Linked DNA regions of Lonchura striata. The protein of the gene in region 4 purifies or fractionates together with the protein of the main gene of each other region. This does not show direct contact. Links are inferred from orthologs where the notes say so. Each region holds a gene or a part of one and is shown on either strand. Other genes may lie near its edges. The genes, in order: TNRC18, SAP30L, ARID4A and SINHCAF.

Evidence for each region.
Region 1: the proteins of SINHCAF (region 4) and TNRC18 purify together in Homo sapiens (affinity purification with mass spectrometry; 3 studies listed by BioGRID and IntAct, counting the BioPlex papers as one, with this or other methods). This does not show direct contact. The link is inferred for Lonchura striata from reciprocal best matches to the Homo sapiens genes SINHCAF and TNRC18.
Region 2: the proteins of SINHCAF (region 4) and SAP30L purify together in Homo sapiens (affinity purification with mass spectrometry; 3 studies listed by BioGRID and IntAct, counting the BioPlex papers as one, with this or other methods). This does not show direct contact. The link is inferred for Lonchura striata from reciprocal best matches to the Homo sapiens genes SINHCAF and SAP30L.
Region 3: the proteins of SINHCAF (region 4) and ARID4A purify together in Homo sapiens (affinity purification with mass spectrometry; 3 studies listed by BioGRID and IntAct, counting the BioPlex papers as one, with this or other methods). This does not show direct contact. The link is inferred for Lonchura striata from reciprocal best matches to the Homo sapiens genes SINHCAF and ARID4A.

The regions. Positions count from the first base shown.
Region 1 is NC_134618.1:14,607,442-14,615,080, forward strand, and holds the start of TNRC18 (trinucleotide repeat-containing gene 18 protein), read right to left. Parts: upstream 3,005-7,639; 5' UTR 2,949-3,004; coding exon 2,747-2,948; intron 1-2,746.
Region 2 is NC_134617.1:5,247,882-5,254,785, forward strand, and holds the start of SAP30L (histone deacetylase complex subunit SAP30L), read right to left. Parts: upstream 3,017-6,904; 5' UTR 2,866-3,016; coding exon 2,680-2,865; intron 936-2,679; coding exon 813-935; intron 1-812.
Region 3 is NC_134608.1:4,704,362-4,711,258, reverse strand, and holds the start of ARID4A (AT-rich interactive domain-containing protein 4A), read right to left. Parts: upstream 3,003-6,897; 5' UTR 2,905-3,002; intron 2,285-2,904; 5' UTR 2,229-2,284; coding exon 2,223-2,228; intron 1,028-2,222; coding exon 917-1,027; intron 1-916.
Region 4 is NC_134607.1:17,964,048-17,971,448, reverse strand, and holds the start of SINHCAF (SIN3-HDAC complex-associated factor), read right to left. Parts: upstream 3,007-7,401; 5' UTR 2,937-3,006; intron 1-2,936. UniProt on the Homo sapiens protein: Subunit of the Sin3 deacetylase complex (Sin3/HDAC), this subunit is important for the repression of genes encoding components of the TGF-beta signaling pathway.

The DNA.
Region 1 (7,639 bases), on a different chromosome or scaffold from region 4:
TCCATTGCAAACAGTCCCTTCCCTCCTTTATCCCTCTGCAAGGCCCATGGGGGGAGCACCCCGCTCCCCTCCTCGGGGATGGGGAGATGGCAATGCCCAAGAGTACAGGGGGGACAGGGAATGGCATCCCCGGCTCAGCTCCCGCCTTGGCCTCCAGCTCACTCCTCCCTCCTTGCGCTTCCAACAAAGGGGCTTCTGTCCCTGTCCTCCCCCCGTGGAGCAGAAATCGCTACCATGGAGCAGAAATCCCCCCGAGAGGAGCCGAGGGTCCAGGGGTCACTGGACACAGCCCAGGCGCCCGTACTCTGGCGCTGGGGCAGAGCCCGGCTGCCGGAATGAGCAGAAGGTACGGGAAAAACAAGGAGTCGGTGCCGGCCATAACTGGATTCTCAAATATGGCCAATAGTGCTATTTTTACAGGGGCGTATTTATTTTCAGAGGACGCTGGGACGGATTCAAGAGTCTCTTTCTTCAGCCCGGCGGTATTTACGGATCGGTTTGAACTGGCTCTATTTAAAGGCTTTGCCTCCTGCCCACTTTTCTTAACCCCTTGCACAAGCCTTTGCATTCCACCCCTCCTAAAAACAAAACAAACCCCTAAAAAAACACAACAACAAGGAAAAAAAAAACACCAAAACCACACACCAACAGCACTGCAAACGAAAAGCTACAAAGGGTGCCTTGGTAGCAGGAAGCAATCATCATTTCAGGCGATATTGTTAAAGCCGTAAAAAAACAACAACAAAAAAAATATCCCTGCCTATCCCACTGCTGCGGTTTAATGGGAGTTTCGGCTGTTAATTGTACAGATCCTTTTAATGGAGTTTAGCCTGACTTGGAATTGCCGTGACAAAGCTGAGCTTTGCGAGGATCGTGCCGGGGAGCGGATGGGGAGACCGGGCACCACTGAGGTGCAGGGACAGGCATTTCAAATAACTCCCAGAAAGAGGAAAATAAAAATAACTTTAAAAATAAAATAAGAACACAGTAAAAAAGAATTGGAAGTATAACACACTCCACTCCCTCTGTGAGGGGACTCAAATCTGAGGCTTTCTCCCAGTGTGGTAGGAAAGCTCCCAGACGGCATCACTGAGCTTGGTCAGCTTGGAGAGGCCAGAGCTCTGTGCCTCCCTCCTGACCTGCCTGGATTTCAGAAAAGGAAACCTTGGGAGGAGAAATAAAACTTTAAAAAAAATTACCCAGTGAAAAATAAGAGTAATTTTTAAAATTTCCAAGAACCCACACTCTGTTTGGCCTGAGATTGTCCAGATGCATTTTTGCTAAGATCACATTCAGCTGCAGTAGGAGGTGGAAGAGAGAGGAAAAAAAATAACCAGGGGGGGAAAAAAGGGAGGGAAAAAAAAGACAAAAGGGAAGGAAAAAATAAGGTGTTTGCCCATGTGCTTGGCTTCATAGCCCCGTTCGCTTTACACCTCTCCTCTTAGCACCTGGGAAATTGGCACTGCCACCTAGTCTAAAACTAATAAATCTTTTTCCCTCGATTCAGGCTGCTTCCTTCTCTGCAGATGTTGGCAATCAGGTTTGCAAATTTCAAAGTCATTCATCCCGGGCGGCTGGGAGAAAAGCAGGTTTATTATTGCAAAACCTGTCACCCTCCCAACGCCTAAAGTAAACTCCGAGTCACCTCTCCACGCCCAGGGGAAAGAGAGCGGAAAAAAAAAATTAAAAATAGAGCCAGAGAGGGAAATCAAACGGTCAGAAATCCCTTGTGTCCTCCTACAGGACTGTGGGCAGGAGAGAGCGGCAGCGTCCTCCCAGCAGTGCCGGACTCTGCGAGCCGCTGAGAAATGGAGCTCGGAAAAGGGGAAAAAAATGAAAATCCTCAAAAAAAATAAAGTAATTTAAACAAATAAATAAAAAGCTGACTGTGGGAAAAAAAAATAAACTGCGTATATTTCAGCGTCTAGTTTTTTGTTGGTTTTTTTGGGTTTTTTTTAATGGATATACAGCCGTGGGGACCCTAAGGATGAAGTGCGTCGAGAAGAGGGAAAAAATTCAAGGAAGGAGCAGTCACTGCACACTTGCATGGAAGCTTTGTTCGCGAGTTTAAAAAATAAGAATTTTGAAGGGAAAAAAAAATTAAAAAATAAAAGAAAAGAAAAAACAGCATCAAAACCAGCGGTGCCGGCAGCGCTACCCGGGGGCAGCGGGACCTCAGCGGGACTCGGGCTGCACCGGGCAAGAAATCACCGAAAGAGCCCCATTTTACCCCTTTTTCCCAGCCCAGGGATGGTTTTTTTTGGCTGTCCGGGAGCGCAGCGCCGGGCAGCGCAGTCCCGTCCCTCCGCAATCCTGTCTGCGCCTCTCCCAGCTTTCCCGAAAATCGGATTTATTCCCCGGATTTATCCCGCAGCCGCCGCGGAGGGGATTTTCCTCAGTGCCAACAAAACCGTACGCTGGAAGGGGGGACTTCTATCGGATAGGCGCGATTTTTTCCCCTATTCCCTTATTTTTTACTCCATTCTCTTATTTCTCCACCGTCACCCTATTTGTTTTCGTACTTCTTCCCCATTCCCCTAATTTTTTTCGCCAAATCAAAACCACGCGAAGCAGAAAACACTTGGGAGGGAAAACACGCGAAAAAGCTGCGAGCACATAAATGTATAATTATCCTGACGGTATTTATATTTTGGGGCGGTGGGGGGGGGGGGTTAAAGCCCGATCCCGGGTTCGCCGCCCGCGGAGGGAAGGCAGGGAAGGCGCGGGGGGTTCCGCGGAGCCTTACCCGGGTGGGAGTGGAGGCTGATGCCCGACGCGAGGAATTTTCCGGGCTGGAGGGCGGCGGGGAGCCCGGCAGCCATGGGCCCGGCGGCGGGGGCCAGGCGGCCCGTGGCTCCCAGGCGGTGGCTCTCCATGGCCAGCCCGGAGAGCAGCGGAGGGGGGCCGTGCACCGAGCGGGGGGGCCCGAAATCTCGGCCATCCATCATCCACTCGCCGGCTTCACGGAGTCTCCCGGATCGCTGTCGATGCCCGCCACCACCGCCTTCCCGCCCCCCCCCCCGCCCCCCACCCCCCTTCTCCTCCTCCCCCAAAAAATCAGATGGTTTTCAAAAATAAGGCGTCCAAGCGTCCCATGGCGCGGTGCAGGGAGCCAGCCCCGGCGCGGCGGTCTCGGCGCTGCCTGCGAAGGAGAAAAGAAGGGGGAGGTGCGGTGAGCCGACATGCCCCGACACCCCCCTGCTCACAGCCACCCCCAAAAATACCCCCCAAAACCCACCCTCAATCTTCCCGGAGTGGAGGATAGAAAAGGGGGAAAAAGCGGGGAGAAAAAAAAAAAAATCTAAGGAAAACTTGTGGCAAAAGGCAGGCAGAAAAAAAAAAACTAAGTACTTAAAAATAATATTTTAAGAATTTAAACTTTTGTCCCTAAGAGTTACATTTGTCACGGCCGCAGCCCCGGCCGGGCAGGGCAGCGCCCGCCCGCAACCCGGGACCGACCGGCGGGGACGCGGCACCGCACTTCGCCCCGGAAAACAAACACACAAATCCCAAAATAACAACAACAACAAAAAAAAAAAACCCACCCAAATATTTCTTCTTTTCCTTTCTTTCCCCACCTTTTTTTTTTTTAGTTCTTTAATTTTTTTTTTTTATTTTCCCCCTCTTTTCTTTATTTCTCCCCCGCCGCCGGCTCCGGCGGCGGCATCTCTCCGGCAGCCGAGTTTCTCGCTTCTTTTGGAGCTCATTCCCACGGCTCCAAACCACCGACTGGGCTTGTTGTTTAGGTTGGGGTTTTTTATTTTTCCTTTCTGCAGCGCCACTTTCACTCGGGAAAACAAAACCCGTATTAACGTTTCCCGGCACAGCTTAAAAAAACCAAAAAAAACCAACCCAACCGTATACATAAAACTATCTATATTTGTACTCGCAGCCTGATGAAAGGCTCCACTCGCCCGCTGTATTTTGTATAGCGAGAAGTAACAAACAATGCGTGGATAAAGTGGAGGTTCTCCCCCTCAAACCCTCTCCAAGCGCTACCGGAGCCCCGGGAGCCGCCGCTCCGGCCCCGCCGCCCGTCCCGGCTCCCGGGCGGGTGCTCCAGCGCGGGGGAGGAATGATTAAAAAAAAAAAAAAAAAAAAAACTAAAACAAAGGAAAAAAAGAAATAAAGAAGAGAGAAATGCTAAATCACAAAATTCTACCCCCAAAAAAATCTCACTGCTTTGCTTTGTTGGGGGTTTTAAAAAATTATTTTCGAGTGGATTCTAAAATTAATTAAAGCCTGCCTGCGTGGCTGCTCGGGGCGAGCCGCACCCCGAGGGCTGCGGGAGCGGCCGGATCCCGGCTGGAAAGTAATCAATAATGGGGGAAAAAAGCTAAAAAGGGGGAAAAAGCGGGAGGATGCGGCGGAAGAGAAGGGTCGGGGGTGGGGGGAGATGGGACCGCCGCCCCGGGCTCGGGGTGCGGATCCGGGTGCGGGTCCTACCTCGGCGCGGTCAGGCCGCCTGGTCGCGGGGCATGGCGGCGGTGCGGGGCTGGGGCGGGGGGTGCCGGCTCGCCGCCCTGCCCGCCGCCCGGCTCCTCCGCTGCTCCGCTCCGCTCCTCAGGGGCAGCAGCGCGGGAGCGACGCGGTGGCGGCCGCGCCATGGAGCGGCGGGGCCCCGCCGAGCTGCAGCATCGCCTCCACAACCCCCCCCCCCTTCCCGGGCCGGCCCCGCGCGCGCGGCTCGGCGGCGCTTAAGGGAAGAGGAGGGAAAAAAAAAAAAAAAAAAGAAAAAAAAAAAAGAGAGAGAGAGGAATAAAAAAAAAAATTAGGGAGGGAAAAAAAAATTATTAAAAAAAAAAAAAAGGGGAGCGCGAGCGCGGGGCGGGAGGGAGGGAGGGAAAAAACGGGGGAATGGGGGAGGGAAAAACGGCGGCGGCGGGGCTATGAAACACGCATTGTTCTCGGCGCGGCGGGGGCGGGCCCGCGGCTGCTCTGCGCCTTCCCATTGGTCGGCCGGGCTGTCACTCAGCGGCGGGTAAACAGGCGGCTGTTTCCAGGCCCCCCGCTCGCCCCGCCCCCGGCGCTCCCGCTGCTGTTTCCAGGCCGCCCCCGCGCTGCCGCCCGGAGCGGGCGGGCGGTTGGCGGGAGCGGCCGCGGGTCCCCGCTCCGAGCGGGGCCGTGAGGGGGGAGCGCCCCGCGACCCCCTCCATTATCTGTGGGGTTAAATCCTTCATCCCGCCCGGGCAGGGCTGAGGGGGAAGTGCCGCCGGGCCCTCTCCCACGGCCCCGCCGCGGACAAAGCGGCCTTTCAGGGCCGGGGGGGAGCGGGGGAGGGTCCCCTGCCCTCCCTGAGGGCCCCGCCTCCCAAAAAATTCAAAAATAGGGTGAAAAGGGACGCTGGGGGAGGAGACATTGACACATTCCCCCCCTCTGGATTGTGAGTGGGGCGGCCCCCCCTGCACTGCCACACTAACTTCTACTTTTCTTTCCATTTTTTTCTTTTCCTTTCTATTTTTAATTTATTTTTCTCCCCCCCCCCCCAATTTTTGATGTGTTTTTCCCTTTCCCCACTTCTTCCCCTGGGAGAAGTGGGGGGGAACACCTCACGGCTGCCAAACCCCCCCGCTCTTTTCCCGCTTCTTTACTTAATCAAACAAAAATCGGCTTTTATAACGAAAAAGGAGAGGAAGGAAAATACAATCTAATTTAATCCGGTATAAATTAAAAGTAATAATAATAAAGCGTCCCCCCCCCAACCGCCCGGACAGGAGTTTCGAGGAACCCACCGGGACATCGGCCAGAAAAGAAGAGAAACAGCCCCAAAAATCTGCTCATTTTTAAACATTCCAAGCAAAATCGAGTTTGTCGAAAAGCTCTCACGCTGCTCAAGGCCCTGGTTTAACGCGAAAATAATCATAATAAATAACAATAATATATATTTATGTTTTTATTTATATTTAAGAGCAAAACTGCGTCAGAGGCGAGGGCTCAAACCCCGCTGCCTCCAAGGGGAGGGCGCTTCTTTTCCCAGTCTCCTTTAGTAAACCAAAAAAAAAACCAAAAAGAAACCGGGGGAATTGGGGGTGAGAGGGGGAGAAGGAAAAAAAAAAATAATGGTTTGATCGCTTTTATGTGGCTTTAAAAGCGTATTTTATAAATGTTTAATGCCTTCACGCCCGGACCTCCCCGCCGCTGTCCCCGGGCCGGGGGGTTGGCATATCATAAATCAGGGAAATGATAATAAAAAATAGAAAAAGCAGGTTCGGGCGGGGCGGGGGGGATCGGCCCCCCCTGCCTGCAACTCCAGCCCTTCCTCCTCCTCCTCCTCCTCCTCCTCCCCTTCCCCCGGCCGGGAGCCATCTTGTACAGCAGCTCCTGGCTGGGGCATCGCTGCTGCAAAACACCCTCAAAAAAAAAAAGAGTGAAAAAAAAAAGTACTTCCGACCTAATATACGCGTTTTTCTAATTATTATTGTTATTGTTATTGTTGCGATTATTCTCCCCTCTCCGGCGCGGTGCTGTTTCCCCGCTGTTTTCCACATGGAATCTCAGCCCCGCTTGTTTTCTCCCTATTATTTCCCCCACTGATCCCCCGCAACACCGCAATGGGGGGGCTGCGAGCTCCCCGTAAAATTTGGGGGGGATGGCGGCCGCTCCCACAATTTCCCCCCCGCGCCAAAGCTTTTCCGCAAGCAGCGCTTTCTCCAAAAATACCTATTTTTATTAAAAATAACATCGGGGCGGGGAAGGGGGGGGCGGTGGGGTGGGTTGTCCCGCGAGCAGCCGCACGGTGTTGTGGCCCCCCCCATTCCCATTCCCGTTCCCGTTCCCGTTCCCATCCCGATCCCATTCCCATTCCCATTGCCATCCCGATCCCATTCCCATCCCGATCCCGGTGCCCCGGGCTCCCGGCAAGTTCCCACGGTGCCGCCCGCCCCCGGGCCGCCCCCGTCCCCCCCGCACCCCCCTCCCGCCCGGCTCCGCTCCCTCCATCTCTTCCCTTCTGCTTTTTCCTTAATTTTCTTTTCTTTCCCCTTCTTCCCCTTCCCCGTCCCCCAGCTATTTATTCTCCATTTTGTTTTGTTTTGGCGTTTCTTCCTGGTTCGGTTTGGTTTGGGTTTTTTTCCTTCTTTTTTCCCATTCTTCCCTTCTCTCCCCTCCCCGGGCGAACCCGAAATTCCCGGTGGCCGCCCCCGTCCCGGTGCCCGCGGAGGCGGAGGGCAGCGGGCAGGAGGCAGCGGAGCGGTGCAGCCCCCAGCCCCACACCGGGCACTGCCCCCCGCTCCCGGGATGCAGGTAGGACGGGAAGGAGGAATTTGGGAGTGGGGGGAGCTGGGGGAGGCTCTCTGGAGACGTGGGAGGCAAAGCAAAGCGATGCCCTCCACCCCCAACACATCTCCTCCGTTTTGGGGGGCTGCCAAGGTGTGTGGGGGGGGTGGGGACACTCACCCCTTCATTGCCAACCCAGCTCTTGACTTCAACTCACAGACTGGGCACAGGCCCTGCTGCCGGACCCCCATCCCCATCTGCTGGGACCCCCAAAATCCCCTTTTTTCCCCCCACAATAAACCCCCCCCATCCCGTGCTCCCCATCCTTAGCTGGGGGGGGGTGCTGTGCATCCTTCCCGCCCGCTGTTTTTAACGTGCTTACTACACGTTTTCAGGGTGTTTTTGGAGCTATATTTAAAGCGTG
Region 2 (6,904 bases), on a different chromosome or scaffold from region 4:
ACCTCCACACAGGAGGTGTGTGCACCAGCTTTGCACCAAGACACAGCTTTGCTGGCAAAATGAATCTGGGTGGCTTCTTTTTTTTTTTTTTTTTAATTTCAGAAATAAACAGCTTTTTGCCAATAGGGTTGGCAATTCCAGCAGAGGGCTCTGCTGACTGTGGCCATGCTCTGCTTCTCTGAACATCACCTCTGCACAACTTTTGCCATGTCAACAGTACCAGAAACATCACTGAAGCAAGCGCAGCGCAGTGGCACAGAGAAAGTTCTCTAGCACAGAAAACTTCCCCCAGGCCTATCTCCTGAAAATAAAAATGTGTCACAAACTATTTAAAGGTAGTTTTAAATAGTGCTAAAAAATACCATATATGCAAATATCTGGAGCAGCTCAATATCCATGGGTATCAAATACCCAATCAAAGAGAGTGACCTATTGAATTCTGTAGTGTATTTGCAAAATGATGCATACTCATTAATAAGGAATTATGTAGGGGCATGAGACACCATGAAAAATAACTTATTTTTAGCCTTAAAAAAATAGTATCAAATACAATTTTAACTGTACATACACTAAGCTGTGAAGTTACCTTATCACACCTCTTTTTATAGAAAACTTTACATGGGCAAAGAACTCATAGGGGAATGAAGAAAATTAGGACACCACACGTCAGAAAAATCTCTTCCTGGAAAAGTGAAAGTAACTCCACAGCAGCTTCAATGGCCTTGCAATTTAAAATATAACTATTTTTTGATGTATGAGAACATCTAAGTGAAACTTCAACATGCTAAGAACTGGTAAAGCAGCCCACAAACCTCTGGAACATCCGTGTCGTGCTCAGGAGAGTCACCTCCATCATCGCTCGTCTTCCTCTTCCTTTTGTTCCGAACACTTTGAATGAAGTTCTTGTGAAAATCACAGATATACAGATGCCTCACCTGAGAACCAGAAGTGGTGAAAAAGCAATCAAAAAAGATACGGTGAAACAGCATTCAACAGCAGCCACTTTGACACCAGTGTCAGGTGCATCTCTCAAGACTGGCGTGACCGACTGACATCAAGGAATTTCTAATCTTAAATCCAGCCCTGATATCACACTCTTTATTCAGAGATAACTTACCTTACAAAGGCTAAAAGTAAAGAAAACAAAGAACTCAAGCTTCAGCTGAATTGAACCTCTACAGATAATAAATTTGTTTTTTATGGCTGCAATCATCTGTCAGGAAAAAAGATGGGTGCTTGTCTGGAGGAAGTGCATTTATTTCAGGACTTACTAGCAGGTATCTACCAAAACATGTATTATTCTATTCAATTCTTGTGAACTTTCTGGCTTGAATAATACAGAGGATTATTAAGGCAAGTGTTTCAAAACCTTGACAAATAAAACTTGAGCTGATCACCTCAACTAAAACAAACAGACCAAATGCAGAATAGCCTCCTTCCTATTGCTTGTTCAGCAATGGAACCTCCCTTTTAACAAATATAATCTCACTAGAGTTAGCAAAACAAAGGACTTCAAATGATCAAAATTATTTGGTGTCTATAAGGCAAAGTATCTTCAGATAACACAGGCACCCTACATCCATGCAGCCTGCTTTACACTTTCCCTTTGTTCTGACTGTACTAGTCTGATTTCCCCTTTTTGTTTCTAAAGCCTGGCATCTGTCAACAGAGACTCATTTCTAAAATGCAAGAAATTACTACGCCACTAGACAAATCTGCTGAGAACTACAACTGGGAGAAATGCTCTAGTTTTCAAGAATACGTTTCAAACTGAGTCACTTTTCCCGTGACACGATGCATTTTGGCTGTGCAGAAGGGACCCAACCAACTGGGGGAGCTGCCAAACAGACTGACTCAAAACTTCACCTATTTTTTTTTTGCTTTTGCTTTGTTTTCAGTGGTTTTGATCTTTACAGATCAGGCGAAAAAAAAAAAGCGTGCAGAGCTGAATTCCGTTAACGAAGTCACTTCTGAGAAATTCCTTCTGTGATCTGCTCTTCTCTGCCGGGCAAATAACCCGTTTCTATCTGGAGCTGACAGCTGTCAGTGTCATTAGGCAGCAAACCGGGCTGCTCCGTGTGCGAACAGACCCTGCTGAAGAGGCAGCACAGCTCACTGCCAGCTCGGTCTCTAACCTGCTTCGCCACAACACCAATTCTTCGCAATTAAAGAAGTAACGTCAGTGCCGCCTGACTGAAGCAGCAACCACAGCGCTGTTTTCACCTGACAGCAGCAGCCTTTCCAAGCCGAGACCGCAACGGGAACAGCACTCCTGCCTCCCAAGCACGGACAGCTCGCTCCTTTGCCTCCCTGCACACACCCGCCTCCCCAGCACGGCGTTCGGGGCTTCAGCTACGTTATGCCTCAGCAGGCGGGCAGTGCCACAGGGAAAAGCCGGCTCTGCACGGGGGGAACGGCCGGGTGCAGCCAGGCACGTCCTTCCCTTTATCCCGAGCTAAGGATCCTCCCCGTTATCCCGAGCTGTAGCGCTGAGGATGGGCGAGCGCGGTCCGCAGCTCCGCGTGTGCCGCGCCCGGCCCCGCTCGCCCGGGAGCTCAGCTCGCCGGGCGGATCCGCGTCTCCCCGGAGGCACCGCAGTGCGGTGGCGCCCGCAGCCGGCCCGGCCGCCCCTCCGGGGGGCTCGGCAGCGCCCGCAGCCCCGGCCGAGGCCGCACTCACACTTTTGTCGATGTCCAGCTTCAGCTTCTTCTGCGAGATGCTCTTCTGGATTCTCTTGCTGAAGGACGCGTTGCCGGCGGGGCGCACGCAGCGGTCCCCGTCGTCGATGAGGCAGCAGCTCTGGCCGTAAAAGGGGGCGGGGGGCGGCCCATCCCGGCTGTCCTCCTCGGTGCTGAACCCATTCATCGCCCACCTGCCCGCCCCTCACCCCGCGCGGGGAGCCGACCACCGGGGGACCAACTGCGGGGACGGAGCCGCCGTCACTACCGCGCCCTCGGGGGGACCCCGCCGCCTCCGCGGGGGCCCCCCGCTACGGCAGGGGAGGGGACCCCCCCGCCGCCGCCGCCGCTCAGCGCTGCCCGCGGCTCGGGCCGGGCCGGGCCCCCCAAGCGCCGCCGCCCGCGGGGAGCCGGGACCGCGCAGCGCTCGCACACACAAAACCGCCTCCCCGGCCGCGGAAGTCCCGCCCCCGGCCCGCAGGCGCGCCTCTGATTGGGCCGCGCGGCTGGAGGGGCGGGGCGCCCCGCGCCGCTCCGAGCGCCGATTGGCCGGCGGAGCTGTCCGTCCGCCGCCGGCGCCCGGCCCCCGCAGCCGGAAGGTCGCGGTGAGGGGCGCGCGGAGGGAGCGGCGGCGCCCGGACCGTGAGGGGACGCGGCCGCTCCCGGCGCTGTCCGCGGCCGCTCCCGGCGCTGTCCGCGGCCGCCGCGCCGGTGCCGCCCGCAGGAGGCGGGCAGCGACCCGGCCCCGCCGGCTTCGGGCTTGCCCTGCTGCCGGGACGCGCACGGGACAGCCGCACGCAGCCGGGGCGCCGCAGCCGCACCTGCAGCGCTCCGGGGACAGACCTGAGCCCGCAGCAGGCCCGGGGCTGCGGCTCCCCCCGGCCCTCGTACCCGACCCGGGTCGGCACAGCCACAAATGCGTGCTCTTGGGTCAGCACCCCGGCTGGAGTTCCTGGCTGAAACGTAGTTTTTTATAAGAAATACAAGACTCTTTTTTAATTTTTTTTTTTTCTTCCCCTTATCACAAGGCAGCGACAGTGAAAAGATGGGACCTGGAGAAGTGTTTCTCAAAGCCATGTGACTTTAAACTTCGCATTTTTCATCTTCAGAAAAAAAAAAAAAAACAAACCTAAAAAGAACTCTGAAAAAAAAAAAGACAAAACCCCCACCCTAACCCCCAAATCTCCCCAAAAATAAAAAAGGGGAGAAAAAAGGAGGCGAAAAGTGGGGGCGGGGTGGGGTGGCGGTAAAAAAATTGAATTCTTGCTGATTTGTGAAGAAAAGATGAAACTTCTGGAAATGCTGTGACTTCTGTAATACCAGACAGCAAATGCTATTCTCAGAGGTTCCTGAGCAGCTCTGAAAGGAAAACGATTTCATCTTCCTGAAGAAAGGACTTTCTGCTCAGACAGAAGAAAGGTTCTGTAGACTAAAATGACTTCAAAGCCTTAAATCCTGCACATGGAACAATGTGCGTGAGCTGTGCTGAATCACACAAAATACCTTTGCAAGAAAGAGACTCCTTAAAGCCCTTGGCCATCAGCTCAGGCTCTCCATGCAGTAATACTGCCAACCAGCTCTGCACAAGATTGAGAAAAGCCAAAATCTGTATTTTCCAGGCACTCCTTACAATACCAAACAAGCCTCAGAATAGATTTAGAGGGCAGAGACTTCATACTCCTCAACAGTTCTGACTCTTGTCTTGGTTTTTACTGCGGGTGCCCTCGGGCAATATGTAATTTCTGTTTGTGCATGTGACCAGCGGAGAACCACAGTGCACCCTCCTGGGGACAGCGGCCGTTCTCACGGGAAGCTGGTGGAAACGAATGACTTTACCCACAGAGCAAACAAGCAGTTAGCAAAGAGCCAAGAGATCTAAAACAGTAAAACACTACGGCTTATAAAAGCCCCAGATCAAACTGATTGGAATCTGCCTGCCTGAAGTAATATCCTCCTGGCAAAGCCATAGAGATAGTCCCTTGTTTTGGGGAAAGGGAAAACACCAAGAGGCTGACAGAGATCTCAGAGCTGCTGATAACAACCTTTCTGGCTTTATCTTAACATTACCAATAAAAATCAAATGGCTGGCTGAGGAAATCTTGCAGGATTATCTTGACACTCTGGAAGCCAAACCCACAGACTGTAGGGGCAGATGATAATAACAGCAAGCAAGGAGATAAAAGGGAACAAGCAGAATTTTTTCCTGTCCCCTTGAGGAGATTGTGCAGGTGCTCCCTGACTGTATTCTGGGAAGAAACAGGCACCCTAAGTGTCAGAACAGGCTGGTACTGACCATCAGATTATATTTAGTCTTGGGCTGCAACCGCTCATCTCTGCAGCTAAAAAGGTTTTAAGTCCTTTTGCAGTGCTCACTATGAGGAAAAACAGCTTTTGTCACTGTCTGTTTGCTAATTCGATGCTAATTACCTCCTTCTCACGCAAACACGATGACACCTTTTTTTCAGTCTTAAAAAAAAAAAAATCACAACCCCAAAACAACGAATGGAGGTGTTTTTATAATTGCAGTTTATTTCAGCATATTTATCCTCATGGGAACCTCCAGATTTCACAGTCTGCTAGTCTGGAACAAGCTTTCTGCAAAATAAACTGCCTCATCGAGACATTCTTTATTAGGTATCTATCACTAACCTGATCCAATAATTCTTTGTGGGAGCTGCAATGAAGTGAGAAACAATGTTTCATAAACCCATCAGTACCCAGGCAGCTTTAGTACCTCTGAAGCAGTAATAGCCTGGCCATCCCAGTCAGCCTCTAATCAAATTAGGGGAGCCTGTGCAGGCCTGTAAATCTTACCTGGAGCACTACCCTCTGAAGAGAAGTCAGTGGTGTGACTGTCATCTGGAACTTAGTATTTTAATGGAGTCATTCAGGGGGCTCAGGACAGAAATACTTCTCTCCTCATGGTCTGTGCTGCTTGAGATGTCCTGGGAAGAAGGTTTTTTTAAACTTTTCATCATCAGAAATCAGACCATTTCCTTCTGCAGTACCTTGGGGAGGCCAATGAAAACACTGCTCTGGCACCTTCCCCCAGACTCCCACTCTCCTCAGCACTTTTCTAGGGTTGCACATATTGAACCTGCTAAAATGCTTAAACTGTCACAGCTTTTGGCACATACTTACCCTGGGCAATGTTCCCGTGGCCAAGAATCACAGCACAGTCTTCCCTGGGGATCATGCCTTGCTGGTCCCCCAGAAAAGCTCCTTTTCCCACACACAGATTTTCACACATTTCATTCTTTGTCTCTCATCCATTTCCCCCCCAGTGTTCTTCACCCAATGGAGCTGAGTAAATAGGAGTATTGAGAAGGCCACTGAAGAAATGAAGTGGTGACAGTAGGAAGCGCTGAGGGTCCTAGTGGGAACATGAGCAATGCTGATACACTTCTCTCATCTTGGGCTGAGCCTGCTCTCCCCACCTGGAGATCAGAACACAAACAACCCATGAGCTGTTACAGCCCACCCCTGCAAACCAAGGGGTGGGGATGATCTCCCAGCAGTCACTCCCAAGGCCAGCAGGCAGAGAAAGAAGAGTCACAGCTGGGTTTTCTCCATTCCTCTGGGCTCCCCAGTGTGCCCTGCCAAGGCCAGTCCACCCCAGGGGTGTCCTACCTGGGCACAAGTCGTCCACTACAGTTGTGGTTCCTTAAGGATTGCACCACTGGGCATGGAGTGACAGGACACCTGTGCTGTGGAAACACCACACCAGGGCAGCTGAGTTTATTCTCACAAGTAGAAGAGAAACCAATCACTGGAGCAAAACAGGCGGGGACAGTCACGTCTGCGTACACAGTTTTCAGAAAACACATTAAAAATTTATTTTAAATATATTATAAAAGGAAGTCCATTCAACTTTAAAAACACTAGGCATTCTATCAATGATTCCCAATTTATGAAAGCTACTACATTAAAGTGCTACAAGTCCTTTACCACCCCCAGATATTAGGCTGTTGCTCCTAATACGCACAAAATAAATACACACTGATTCAAGAGGCACCATCCAGTTTTACAGAGAAATGCATGCAGTACAAGGTACAGACAAACTTAGACCTAATCACTGAGATCCTAGAGAATGCATTTTGAAACCAATTCCCTTCTCCACCCTAGAGGCTAAAGCTATTTGTTGCTGTTATTGTGAGGGCTAATGTTTCAGGCTGTTAGCTTGATCAGTTTTTATCTTGTTTTGTGGTTGAAGTTCACATTTGTTT
Region 3 (6,897 bases), on a different chromosome or scaffold from region 4:
CACACAAAAACTTGGATATATAGTTACAAAAAGCAGCTTTCACCTCAATTTCTTGGGGATTTTGGGTCACTGATACTTATTTACATATCTTGGACAGCAGGCACTGAAGTAGGAAGTGGGAAGACTTTGACAAAACAAAGAAGAACAACTTCTGTATTTACTTTCAATTTTAACTTGCATTTAACAATGTTTTATTCTTATTCTCACATAGTGGCATTTACAACAGTATTACAACACCAAAATGACAACTTTCTCTTTTGGTTGTTTTTCCAGAAGTCCTGTAAAGGTGAATGAAAATTATGTTCCAATACTATCCATGCAGAGAAATTCAGCTACAGCCAGGGCATGCTGCTTTAGAAGCTGCATCAAGATGCTCAAAACTTAAATATTACCCTAGGCATGCCTAAAACCTGGCCTAAGAAACAAATTATTGCCATCTCTCTTGCTGTTGACTTGTTTTTGCATTGCCTTTTCAGTTCCAAACCGTAAAAGTGAGAGTGTCAGTCAGTATGAAATGGAACTTTTGCTTCTGAAGAGGATGATCTTATTCCTTATTATTCATGTAAAGCCATAATCCTGTATTTGTGACATGAAAACTTATTGCTGGGAAACTGATGCATTTGAAAACAGAAGACAAATGCAGTCAGGAAAAAAGAAGCAAGAAAGCTCATTTTTGTTCCAGCACCCCACTAAAAAATAAAATAAAAAAAACAACATTTCCCCCCAGAATGAAGCAAAAAAAAAAATCTCATCCTAAACTAAACAACAAAATATGAAAAAAACCACATTTAAGTGCTGTTTAAAATTCATACAGTGAAGTGATGAAGGTTTTCTAATCTTCAGGAGTAGGATCTCCTGTGACAGCCCTTTCAGCACAATGCTTTACCAAAACCAGCATCAGCCTCAGCACTCTCACCTTGACTTTCACAAGCCTTTTCACCGTCTTAATCTTTGCCTCGCAGAAGGCACCACGGTACTTGGCACTGACATCAGTCCCCACTGTCAGGTAGGCAGGCTCATCTGCTGCCTGGAGGGGAACAAAAACACAAAATCAAACTTTAGCTCTTACTTATTGTTACAACTGCATCAGGATGTATTTCATTTCACACCTTTTAGATCTGTTGTATTTTTAATTAATAAATTGTCTGTCCTTGAGATTGCCATTGCAGAGTTCTTCAAAAGGAAAAAAAAAAAACCTAACAAACAAGTTACAGGAAGTTTTGGTTTGTCACTGATGTTGACACACACCTCCTGTCAAATCATTGTCAAGACTCTCCCAGAAATGTTTCTGAGGGTATTCATTGATACTTAGGAGAGCTGCTTATAAAAAGGGCAACAAAGTGAAGGAGCAACTATAAATTCAAGTAGGTTCTGTGCAAAAGGAAAACATTGCAACTGCAAAAAGGCAATAGACAGCTGTATTTTTTCAGCAATAAGCTATCCAAAGACACAGATTATTTAAAACATTTGAGATTGGTGTCATCCCAACTTACAATTAAGTCTGAAACATTCTATTTACAGGATTTCTTTCCTGGTGACTAAAAGGAGACCTCTAGAGAAATCTGTTGCAATCTTTTAAACAGTTATTAACAATTATTTTTCTTTCCTGGAATGCCTTTATTAACATTTAATTGCCAGTGCATTTTCAAAGAAAAATATTCATCACGTTTTCCTTAACCTGGACTTTAATACTCAGCATTTCATTTACCGTGCTTATTGCAGCTGATAAACAAGGACAAAATAACAACACTGGAAATACAGGAAATGGGTGCAGAATCTAAAATAAAACGGGATATGTATGGGGTTTTTTTAATAACTTAATTATTTCATTCAACTCTGAAGGGAAAAGGAAAAGTTTTGTAAATTATACTGCAATTGTTGAGCCTTTGTACTGAGCAAACCGGCAACAGCAAAGGCGGGACAAAAGCTGTGGTTTTGCAAACTTGCCATAGCAGCTGCTGATACAGGAAGCGTTTAAAGACGGGAGCCCGAAGGACAACAACAACTCAGAGGCGATGAGGATGTTCCGAGCGCTCCTGCACGGCGGCGAGAGCTTTAAATCACCTGCACCTCGCCGGGGAGCAGGAACAGCACTCACAGCACGCACCGAACCCCGCGCTCTCCCACTGCTGCCGTGCCCGGGCGGAGAGCGATTAAAAATGAAATCTCCAGAGCGGCGGGCGAACAGGGCGGCGATCCCCGCTCCCGCCGGAGCCGCCTACCTTCATCTTTAAGGGTTATGTGAGCGATTCCAGCTCCAGGACTTCTCCTCGCACGGGCAACACTGCAAAACAAGAGCGGGGGAGGCTGAGGGCTGAGCGCGGGGCTCGCCGCGAGGGGCGGCGGGGGAGCCCGGGGAAGGCGGAGGGAGGGACGGAGGGAAGGAGCCGCCGCCCGTCCCGGCCGCGCCGAGGGAGCGCGGCCGCCGCTTCCCGCCGGGCGGCCCCGCGCTCGGTGTGTGTCACGTCGCCATTTGCTCCGCGGGGCTCAGGGGCCGCCGCCCCCCCAGCCGCCTCAACTTTCCGCGGCCCCGCCGGGCCCCCTCCTCCTCCTCCTCCTTCACCTCCCGGACTTGTGCCTCCCGCCGCCGCCCCGGGGCAGCGCCGCAGCCCCCCGGCCCAGGGAGCGCGGGGGCCGATCCCGGGGATACCGGGACAGAGTTGGGGGGTCCCGGTCCCGAGGGTCCCGCTCCGTGAGGGGGGCGGCGCGCGCGCCCGTGCGCTCCCACAGGGCGGGGGAGGGGGAGCGGAGGGAAGGGGGGGGGGGGGGGGTGTTTTAAAGCGCAGCTCCCGGAGCCGCTTCGCGTCCCCTCCCCCGGGACGGCGGCGCGGCAGCAGCAACTCCACGGCCACCGCCGCCTCTTCCTCCTTCTCTCCCTCCTCCTCCTCGCGCGTCCCTTCCTACCTGCGAACTCCTCGTTCCGCAGCCCCCGCGCCGCCCGGGCCCCTCCGCAGACGGCGGCGGCGGCCCCGGCTGAGCGCGGCCCCCGCTCCGCCCCCCCCGCTCTTCTCTCCCGCCCCCCGCCCCCCCCGCTCCGCGCGCGGACCCGCCCCGCGCCGCAGCGCGAGCCCCAATAAACAAGCGGCGGGAGCGGGGCCGCTCCCATTGGCCGCCGCTCCGACGCCCCGCGCGCATTGGGCCGCCGCGGACAGCACCCCCATTGGGTCGCGGCGCGGCCCCGGCCGCACGGGATTGGCGAGCGGCGGGGACCGGAAGGGCAACGGCGCGATGTGATTGGCTCGTGGCGGGACGGGCGGGAGGGAGGGGGAAGGACGGGCCGGGGGGCGGAACGGTGGCGGTGGGGGCGGGGCCGGCGCGCGCGGCGCGCAGGCGCGGCGGCCGCGGCGTCGCCGGCGCCATTTTGTGCGCGGCTCTTTCCCATTTTAGGCCGCGGGGAGAGGGAGGAGCGGGAGCTGCCGTGGGATCGGCGGAAGGAACGGCCGGGAGGCTCATCCTGAGGTCCGCTGAGGCGGCACCGCGTCTCTTCCCGGCTGTATGATCCCGTCGCTGCGTCTTGGTGGCGGCCGCGCTTGAGGCGGCGCCGGCGCAGGAGCGGGCCCGGCCGGAGGCGGAAGTGGAGCGGCCGCCATGGAGGCGCCGGGACCGCCCGCCGTGAGGGCGCGGAGCCGGCGGGGCGGCCCGAGCGCCCCGCAGAGACACGCCCGGGGTGCAGGTAGGGGCTGCCGGCCCGCGCCGCCTTCCCGCGGGGGAGGGCGCGGCTCCGCCGCCCTCCATCGTGCCCGTGAGGCGTGTGGGGAGGGAGCGCGGCCGGCTCCGGCTGCTCGGGCGCTTCCCCACGCTTCCCTCTGCAGGAAGGGTAGCCCGGACAGGGATGAGCAGCGCGGAGGAGGCTGAGGGCTTTTTTTGGGAGATGTGTGGGGGTGTTACCGTGTCTGGTCCGGGAGGTGCGGCCTTAAGAGGCGGGATACCCGCACCTGCCGGACTCATTTGAGAGAGTTGGATCTTAAAGAGGAGCTTTGACTTTATTAAGTAGGAGTTATAGGTGGAAGCCTGTGATAAAACTAAATGTTTTAAATTTCGTTTCACATTTTGGCATGTTATACAGAATTTATTCTGTGGCTTATGGTAATATAGATGCATATTTTTTACTCTGAAATAACAGATCCGTAGTTTATATTCCAATAGCAACTATTTGGCACTGCTCACTGTGAGCTCCAAGGTATCTCTCAGGGTTAGCTAAAGCAACAGCGGGGAAGCATTATGTTAATTTGACAGAAATATATGGTTAATTTAGGTATAGTTCCCATGTAAGTTCTGCTTTGAATGTGGCCTTTGTATTTATTTATTTTTTTAATTAAATCTGATGCTTTGGAAAGTGGCAGGTAATGGGAGAGTCCTTTAGGGAGTTCAGTGAGCAGAGGTGTGTGGTGCAGGTAAGCACTGAAGGTTTAATAAGGCACAAAGCACTCGAGACTTGTTTGGAATTGACTGCAGGCAAGGCAAGACATGGAGGAAAGGTCTGGAATTTTGGTGTTTGGATCTGGCTTATAAATATCAAGATGGTTGAAGGAAGATCTCTACAGAAAGTCTAAAGGTTGAGGCATTTAGTGTTGAGGGAGCTTTGATTCTATTCAGGAATAAACTGGAGAGTATCTGAGGGAACCTACAAGAGACCTGCGAGGGACTTTGGACAAGGGCATGGAGTGACAGGACAGGGGGAATGGCTTTGCACTGACTGAGAGCAGGTTGAGCTTCCATATGAGGAAGAAATTCCTGCCTGTGAGGGTGTGGGGCCCTGGCACAGGGTGCCCAGAGCAGCTGTGGCTGCCCCTGGGTCCTTAGAAGTGTCAAAGGCCAGGTTGGACACAGCCTGGAGCACCTTGGGACAGTGGGAGATGTCCCTGCCCATGGCAGCGGGGTTGGAATTAGATGATGTTTTTAAGGCTCTTTCCAACCCAAACCATTCTCTGATTCTATGACTTAGAATATGTTATGTCTAACCTAAATGTTAACAAAACTTCCAAAATTCCATTTGAATGTGAACTTCTGATTTCTCTGTGGAATGTGTTGGGAAATCCTGGCTTGGATTGTGAGCTTTCCTGAGGCATGGTTTGTATCTCTTTACTGAGTGTAGAACCATTCAATAAATAACAGTTTGTGATGGAACTAATCAGTCTTGTTTCTGATTTCTAGAATAAAATTTCTGCCACTGTGGATGTCTCAGTTACAGCCAGCACAATTAGGAGGCTCATGGCACGTCCCCCACCAAGCAAAAGGACTTTATTTCTGTTTAGCCAGTGAGCAGGAGCGGTGACTTATTCTTTTATGGTGTTTTAAATATCGTAAGAATGCCCAGTGGGCAGCTCAGCACAGCACAAATGTCCTCACACAGATTAAGGATGATGTCTAGTGTCATGGAATGAGAACACTGTGCTTTTGGCAAGGCAGGAAAAAAAGTCTAATTTTGGTTTAAATATCTTTTCATTGGAATAGGAACTTCAGGACTCAAGAGTTACTCCATGGTACTGCCATTTTTCATCCTAAATGTTAAGCAGCTCTGAAACTTGGAGCCATCCTGGCTGTACTGGATCTTTGCACTGTGCCCCATCCCCCTGTGCAAACCCTTACAGGAAAACTGGGAATGAGTGGAAGAAATGAGCAGAGAAGGTCAATTTGGTGAGCCTTTTTATCATGGCCTGGTGTGTTAACTGCACAGAGTTAACAGCTGAGAAGCTCTAGAGTGGGACAATCACAGTAAGTCCTTTTATGATCTAATCTCTCTGTAAACAGACATGCTGTGAGATAGAAACATTTCATTTTTTAGATCATTGTTCAGAGCAGCAGTACTTGGTTATCTGTACTTCGTTAGTACCAAAGGTCTTGTGGGTGCAGCATGGGAGATTTGCCTGGGGAGATGCATTTGAGCAAATTAAAGACTTCTTAATTTAAAAACAGTTAAAAGCATTAAGGCAGAAGGACAACACTGATCATTGGTCACCTGGAATTCTAAGTGATGGCTGTAAGTAAATTAGTAAAAATAATACACTTAAGCACTTGAAAATGTGTTTGGTGTATTAGTTGCAGAATATACTTATCCCAGAAATCTTGCCCAAAGTCTTCCATACATATAGCACTTGATAAGAAAAAGCAAATTTAGGAATGTCTGTATCTTATAGTTCTCTTTATAAGAACAGCAGAACAAGTAACTGTTGATGTATCACGTGGCTTCCTTCAGATCACAGCTAAAGAAGATTTCTGGGATAAGTGAGATGGTTTTATTCTGTTCAGTAATCACATACTGCTCTTGACATACTGGATTTTTTTATAGATAAAAGAACTCAGAATACACATACAATTGCAGCCAAAATACTGTAGAAACATTAAAAATATTGGATCTTAGTTTAACACTGAGCTTCTTTCTATGTAGTGAAGCAAAGTGCTACTCTGTCATACTTTGCAGTTCTTCAGGAGACTTAGCTTTTATTTCTGCTTCCATTGTTCTTTTTTTAATGTTCTTCCTTTTGGTGTTTCTGTAGTTAAATAGGCAACACTTCTGCAGATCCTCTGTCTATGTGGAACTGCAGTATTTCTGTACAAATTAAGGTCACAAAGCTTTATTATCTAAATGATTGCAAACTGCTCAGAAGAGCATGGCAACAAGCTATGAAGTGCAGGCACAAAGAGAAAAAATCCCAATAAATGTGAAGTTGACAGCAAAAACCTTCAGCCGGTAATAGTTAGATTATAAAAATGGAAGATCAAACCTTTCTTGGTCACAGAGAAAATTGTGCTGCACTGTTAAACTATCAGCATTAAGTTCCTTCATTTTTATAATTATGTGTGTGAGAGAAGGGAATAAAACCAAGTTTTTCATCAAGAAACTTGAATGAAACCTGTTAAATGCTTACTTACGTTTTCCCCAGCTCTGGAGCATTC
Region 4 (7,401 bases):
TGTGCAATCTTTAATTTTAAAAAGCTGTCAACTACACAGCGGATCTGTCTGCCTGCGGGCTGGTGAGAAGGGGGTGCACACACCCTGCACACGGCTGCCAGGAGCAGCCTCAGCTTTGGAAGCAAGCACACAGCAGTAAAGGAGCTGGTGGAGGAGCCATCACCCTTACCGACTGCCTTATCCAAAGAGCGAAACACTTGTGTGCACGGCTGTCAGCCTGCTACCTTCCTAAGCGCCAAATTAAAACTCCAAGTAAAAAACAGCATCGCACTGCTGTTGCACTTGTGGGCTCAGTGCAGGACGCTGGCCCTGCTGCCGCTCCCCAGCCACGAGGGGACGGTGGCACGGCCCGGCCTCCAGCCCAGACACGTGTTCAGGGCACGGCAGCGGGCAGCATCCTGCATCAGCAGCCTGCAGCGGCTGCCGGCACAGCCACGGCGCCGGGAGGCAGCTCCCAAGATTTTTGCAATTGTAATGTTAATTGAATAATGTAGGTCCGAAGGACGGGCCATCAGTCAGGGGAAAAGGCTCTTTGTAGGATGAACCGAGGCCGTTCCCGCCAGGAAAGCATCGCTGGGGGTGGGGGGGCTCCGGGGCAGGAGGGATTCAGCCCTGTTCGCTGCGTACGGGGACAGCCCGAGTAAACAACAGGTTTGGCAGGTCCCTTTAAATCCCTTCAGCTACACACACCAGGACACAGGGGTAGGAGAGGAGACGGCAACTTTTACCTCACCAAAGTGAGAGCGCAACGGGGAGCGCTTTCATGGCTCAAGACTGCGACATTAAAACAAAACAAAAACCCGCCAAACCCTAAATAACAACGGTAAAAAACGCTTAAAAAGACAGAGCTCGGTCGCGCCGCTCCCGCAGGGCACCTCGTGGCTCCGGGCACGGCCCCGCTCCCCCGTTAGCGCCGGCGGCTGGAGCGGCGGCCGGGGCCGGGAACAAAGACCCCCCGGGGCACACGACCTACTTTCACGGGCGGCCCCGCCGGTCAGGTGGAGCCGCGGGAGCGCACACGCGGGTGGCCGCAGCACCCCCCCCGCGTGGGGCTGCCAAGCGCTCAAGTCGCCGAAAGACGAGTGAAATCAAAAATAAATTAGAAGAGCTCAGGAAGGGGAAGGCGGCGATCCAGGGAGGAAAGCCCCGAGCGCGGAGGTGGGCGCTGCGAGGCGGCCCCCGCGCTGCAAACGCCGCCCCACCACGCGGTCGCGGAGCAGCCGCCCCATCCGGCGCGGGGGGAGCGGCGAGAAGCGGGGATGGAGCCGCGGCCGCACCGCCGAGCACCCGGACCCCCGTTCCGGCGCAGCGACGACCGTGCCCCGCCGCCCCCCGCCCTTCCCCGCCCGCCCCGCGCCGGTTCCTCATGGCTCGGCCCTGACGTAATTCAAACATGGCAACAGTTTCACTTCAAAGGGCCGTCGCAGACCTCCCGGCAACGCGGGCACGCCGCGACGGGGGCGACGCGGACCCCCAGACCCGGGGGCAGCCCCGGGGCGGCCGCCCGGGCCTGCCCGCCCGCCGGCCGCAGAGCCGTGCGCGCAGCGCGGTTCCGTGCGGAGCGCGCCTGCATCCAAAGTTTCCCCGCCCCTCCAAACTCCTCCAAAATCGGCAGGCAGCCCCTAAAAAACACCGTCCCGCGCACGACAAGTGTTACCCCAGCGACACCCGCCAGCCCGGAGCCGAGCCCCCGCCGGGCGCGGAGGAGCGCTTTCCCCCGGCGCGCCGGGGAGCCGCGCCGCCCGCAGCACATGCGAGCCCTTTGTTTTCCCTGCAGCCGGGCGCTGCCTACGTGCCGCGCCGGGGGCACGCCGCCCGCCCCGCCGCCCGGCGCTGCGCAGCCCCCGGAGCCCCGAGTTAGAACTTGTTGGCGCCAGGCGCGGGCACACGCCGGCAGGAACGGGAGCCGCTTGCGCTGGCACCGAGCTACGGAGCGGCAGGACGCCATCGTCGCCGCTCCGTCCCCACGCCAGCAACGCCGCGCACCGGGCCGGGGGCAGGACGGGGAAGGCCCCACACCGCGACCGGTGCGACCGACAACACGTGTCCCGCCAGCCCACGGCCGCGCGTTTTGCTCCTCTGCAGCGTGCACGGACTCGGACTCCCGCGCAATTACTAATGATAACTGGAAACAATAAGAACTGCCCCACTCTCCCCACGTGAAACACGGGGAGAGAGGGATGGCGGGCACCAGCGTGTCCTCCTCTCCTCCGCCACGCCGCTGGCACCAACTCATGAGCGAGCGCTACAGGTGTGCGCTGCGGGGCGCGCCGGGGCCGCACCTGCGGCACCCGCTCCGCACCGGCGGGGCCACGCCACCCGCGTGGCGGGCCGGGGTAGCCACGGCCCGGGAAAGTTGCCCTGCAGCCCCCGTCATCGCCAAGCAGCCCGGTTTTCCAAACCCGCTCCGCACCTTGGGACTGCTTTCGGAGTTAAATTATGGGGATCTGGCTACTCTTTCCTCCTAAAGACTTGGAGATCTAATTGTACTTTGGGATTGGGGGGGATTGGGGGGGGGGGGGGGGGGGCGAAATCAGAGTTCTAGGGATGGGTCCGCAACAATGCGGGAGGCGCTCCTCTCCGCTCGCGCATCCTTTAAAACTCTACTAATCGAAGAAAAAAAACGGGCGAAACACCGCTCACAGAAGCCACACGCATGTCAAAGTGTTTCAAGGCGGCAAAGTCTTTTTGCCGCTGCAAAACTGGGAACAAGCTCCGAGGAGTGACTCGGAATGAACAGAAACCACCAGCTCGCGGAAAAAAAATAAATCCCAGCACCAAAAGAAGAATAATTAAATAAAAGGAAACCCACCACAAGCAAACAAAACAAGGGAAAAATAATAAAGACGCCCCGAAGAACGCGAAACAAGCAGCCACGAAACTCAGTTTGAGCCCGCCGCTCCCTCCCGCCCGGGAGAAAGGGAAGCATCACTCACCGCCGCGCTGCGCCCACCGACACCCGTGCGGTGCGCGGCGCTCCCGCCGCTGCGCGCGCTCCCCGTCTCCCCGCGCTCTGCCGCCGCGCGAGCCCGCGGGCCCGCGCCCCGCCCCACTCCCGCCCCTCGGCCGCTCTGCGCAGGCGCCGTTCCCACGGCTCCGTTCTCATCAATCGAGCCCCGCCGGCCGCGCGCGCCCCGTTGTCCTTTTAAGGCAGAAAGGGCCGCGCGGGAAGCGCGCGCGGGGGCGGCGCCCGCCCTGGCGGCGGAGGTGACTTCACGCGCGCGGCGCGCGCCCCCGCCCCGCACCTGCCTCGTGCCGCCCCGCCCGGCGCCGGAACGGCCCCCGCGGGACCGCCCCGCAAACACAGCCCCAACATCACCGCAACACGGCCCCAACATCACCGCAACACAGCCCAGCCCCGCAAACACAGCCCCAACATCACCGCAACACAGCCCAGCCCCGCAAACACAGCCCCAACATCACCGCAACACAGCCCAGCCCCGCAAACACAGCCCAGCCCCGCAAACACAGCCCCAACATCACCGCAACACAGCCCAGCCCCGCAAACACAGCCCCAACATCACCGCAACACAGCCCCAACATCACCGCAACACAGCCCAGCCCCGCAAACACAGCCCCAACATCACTGCAACACAGCCCAACCCTGCAAACACAGCCCCAACATCACCGCAACACAGCCCAAACATCACTGCAAACACAGCCCCAACATCACCGCAAACACAGCCCAAACATCACCGCAACACAGCCCAGCCCCGCAAACACAGCCCAAACATCACTGCAACACAGCCCAACCCTGCAAACACAGCCCCAACATCACCGCAACACAGCCCAGCCCCGCAAACACAGCCCCAACATCACAGCAACACAGCCCAGACCCGCAAACACAGCCCCAACATCACAGCAACACAGCCCAAACATCACCGCAACACAGCCCAGCCCCGCAAACACAGCCCCAAACATCACTGCAAACTCAGAGCACCGCCCCGTAAACACTGTCCCAAAACATCACCACAAACACAGCCCCAAACATCACCGCAAGCACAGCCACGAAAATCACCACAAACATAGCCCAGCCCCGCAAACACAGCCCCGAACATCGCCGCAAACACAGCCCCGCAACACGACCCTGCCACCCCCGGTGACACGCCGGTGACACGCCGGTGACACGCCGCCCCTCCCAGCGCGGCGCGTCCCATCCCCACCGCACCTAGCGGTGTTTGTGGCCATCGCTGCCTCTCCGCACCGAACCTCGCGGGGGGCGCGTCGCAGGGAACACGGAAAGAGTTTTTTTCCCGCTCCGGGTTAATTTTAACGTTCGTTTTCTAAAGTGCTTTAAAAGTCATCAGTGGCTTATGTAATTTTTCCTGCAGCGTCACAATGAGTGAATTAAAAAGTTGCGTCATCTCAGCCTTTGGGTTCAGGGTCTTTTGTGCAATTTTGGAAGAGCTGCTTCACGAGGCGGCTGGCAGGTTATGTTGAAATAGATTTTCTTTGAGAACTGTGTCAGACGAATTAGCATGTGATATACAAGGTAACACCTAAGGAGTTATGACTTAGCACCATTACAGCCCGTGACTGCAATAAAGCTGCGAGCTACTCCCTCCCAGGCTGCCACTCAAACCGAGCCCAAATAAGGATTCCCTTCTTTTGAACTACTTAAAAGTTTAAAAGTTCCCACAGAATCAACTGCAGTTCAGGCACCACATGCAGGTGTTGTTGAATACTCTAAAACACTGAAATAATGCCAATGAATATTTCTATAACAATTTTTTTTTCATTACAGTGACCGTTTCAGACTAATCCTGATTTAACAACTCACCAAGAACTTTTGCTGAAATTATCCTTTTGCTTCCAACAACTAGACTAGCTAAGCTCTGGGAATTTTCAGAGTTGGACAAGATACTTTTCCTTACCTTTGTCTGAGGATCTTACATCTTCTCTACTTGCTTGTAAATCCATGGTAATACTACCCCATCTCCTTCCTCAGTGCTGCCAATCCAATCACTTTGGGCACAAAGCACAGGAGAACACCACCCAAGGAACCCTCCAGGTTGTCATTTGAGTTTTGGGGGGCTCCTGTTGAATGATCAAAGAGTGCTGCATCTGCTACCAGGGCTTTCTTCCAGACACAGCTAAACCAAATAATATTCAACTTGTGAGCCACAGATGTATGTAATGTTGAATAATTTCTCCAAATATTTCTATAATTTTACTGCTTTTAACTGGTCTAGGAAACTCTACCAGCACTTAGCAAATTTTGTTTACATACAATGTGTTTGATTTCATCTGCCTCTTTCTTTTTGATTGGAAGAAGTGTTTCTCCCAGATTTTCTCATTTCTTTGTTCTAGCACACTTCTCAAGGCCGCTTGGTGACATTCCTTTTAGTCCAACACCATCTAGTATAGCATTTAAATCCCAAGTGACAATGAAATTACTTTTCCAAGGAGAATTCCCTAAGATATCAAGCAGAACCCAATGGAACAAAATGGATCTCTTGGCGCCAATCAATTGCTGCCCTCATTACCATCCTGCTGAGCATTCACAGAACATCTCAGGGTGGGCTTTGATTGCAAACAAACCAGGGTCAGGACAACTTCTCTGGTATTTATTTCACAACTTTGTGCCCTTCCACTCCAAATCTCGTGAGGACAGGTGTTGCTGTAACCTGGGGAGAATTTGAATTTCCAAATTTGGTGCTGATCAGCCTGTGAACAGGTCTGTCATTCCTGTCCTCTCAGAGGAAAAAAACACCCCTTCTATCCACAGAATTCCAAATGGCAACACAGAAATGAAAAACATGATCCAACATTCATTTCTGAAACATCTCTGGTTCCCCTGAAGTGTTTGCTGATGATATTTCAGGGCTATGCTGGTAACTCAACAGTGGTTTGAGTTTTCATTTTTGGCTGATAGCCAGCTTGCAAATAAATAAAAGGCACTCAAATACCTGATGATCATCACCAAGGTTTCCCTAGCCCCTTCCCTTCGAGCAAGCCATGTGTGCTCTCCACAGCATCAGAGGGACACCTTGTCTGACCTCACTGTTTGGAAAGAGGGTGATGAAAAATAACCTCCAACTTGGGACAAATCTGGGAAGTTTAATTTGGAAAATGTAGATATCTGAAACAATGCATGCATCCTTACACTACAGGTAAAGCCTTATTTCACAAGGTTCTGTTTTAAAAAATCAAGCATCTTCCTTTCCACTCAGAGCTTGCTATAAAGGAGGAATGTGGGATTTCACAGAGATCCCAGGTGACCTTGAATATGAGCTTTATGAGGATTTATCTTCATCCAGATCAGTTCTAAAAAACATTTACTTTAAGAGTGCATCTGGAAACTAATTGGACTGTTGCTGTGTTCCAGTTAAACTGGTACCTTCCCTGCCTGGACTCTTAATTATTTTATCTGGGAAGCTAAATTATATCAATAGTAATAATAATAAAGTGAACCATGAGGGCTTTTAAAACATAAATGTATCGATGATGAGGGAGAAGTGCTAACATAGAGAAAAAGTAGGGCATTTGCCAGACAAGACATCTGATCCCACTGTGCTATTTTTCAATATTAATGAATAAGTAAACACAAATAGGCTACTTGTTTTTAGGTGAAGAGCAGCTGTCAAGAAAAAACCCAGGCCACTGTTCCTGTTTCAAATTGTAAAATTCTTTTTTGTAACTTGAGTAATTTGAAAATTTACTTTCTTGGCTTAGTGATTGGCCAAAAGATTTTCAAAAAAATTACCAGGAGTTTTTTTAAGGGGGGGGGGGGGAAGTGCTGAAAGAGTTGTAAATAAGGTTTTGCCAAGGAGTACAATTTCAGAGCAAGATACCATCAACAAATGAGTTCTTTAGCTTCTGCTTTCACCAGTTACCCATGTAAGTAGCATCATGCTAATTTTTTGAAGGCACAAGTGCTCTAAAAACTGGTAGTTCTGAGCAAGCAGGTTAAAAAAGAAAAGGGATTTTCACCATTTTATGTTCTAGGCCAAATAACAGATGGCTACAAAAAATTACAGCAAAGTTTGATGATAATCAAAATTGATATTATGATATTCATGCTTCCAGAATGAAGTATTCAAGCTATGAGGCTCAGAGAGACAGGACCCTGAACTGGCTTACTCCAAGGAACAAGGCAGATCATTTATAGCCCAGCCTAAGAAATCCATTAGGGCTTAACAGAGAATAATAACCTTTCTGAAATGTTTTAAATTGACATTTCAAATTCCTTAAGAGGAAGATAATTCTCTTAAATTCTTACGGATTCCTCAAATTCTAGAGCAAAATGACCATTTTTTATTGCTGGTTAAACACCTTAAATGCAGCCTCTCAAGCACTGTTGGTTTCTTTGCAGCACTATTGCTTTCATACCTATTAAAGCCAGTAAGACTATTCTATGGGGATTTATATTAAGGCGATTTGAAGACACCATTAAGAAGA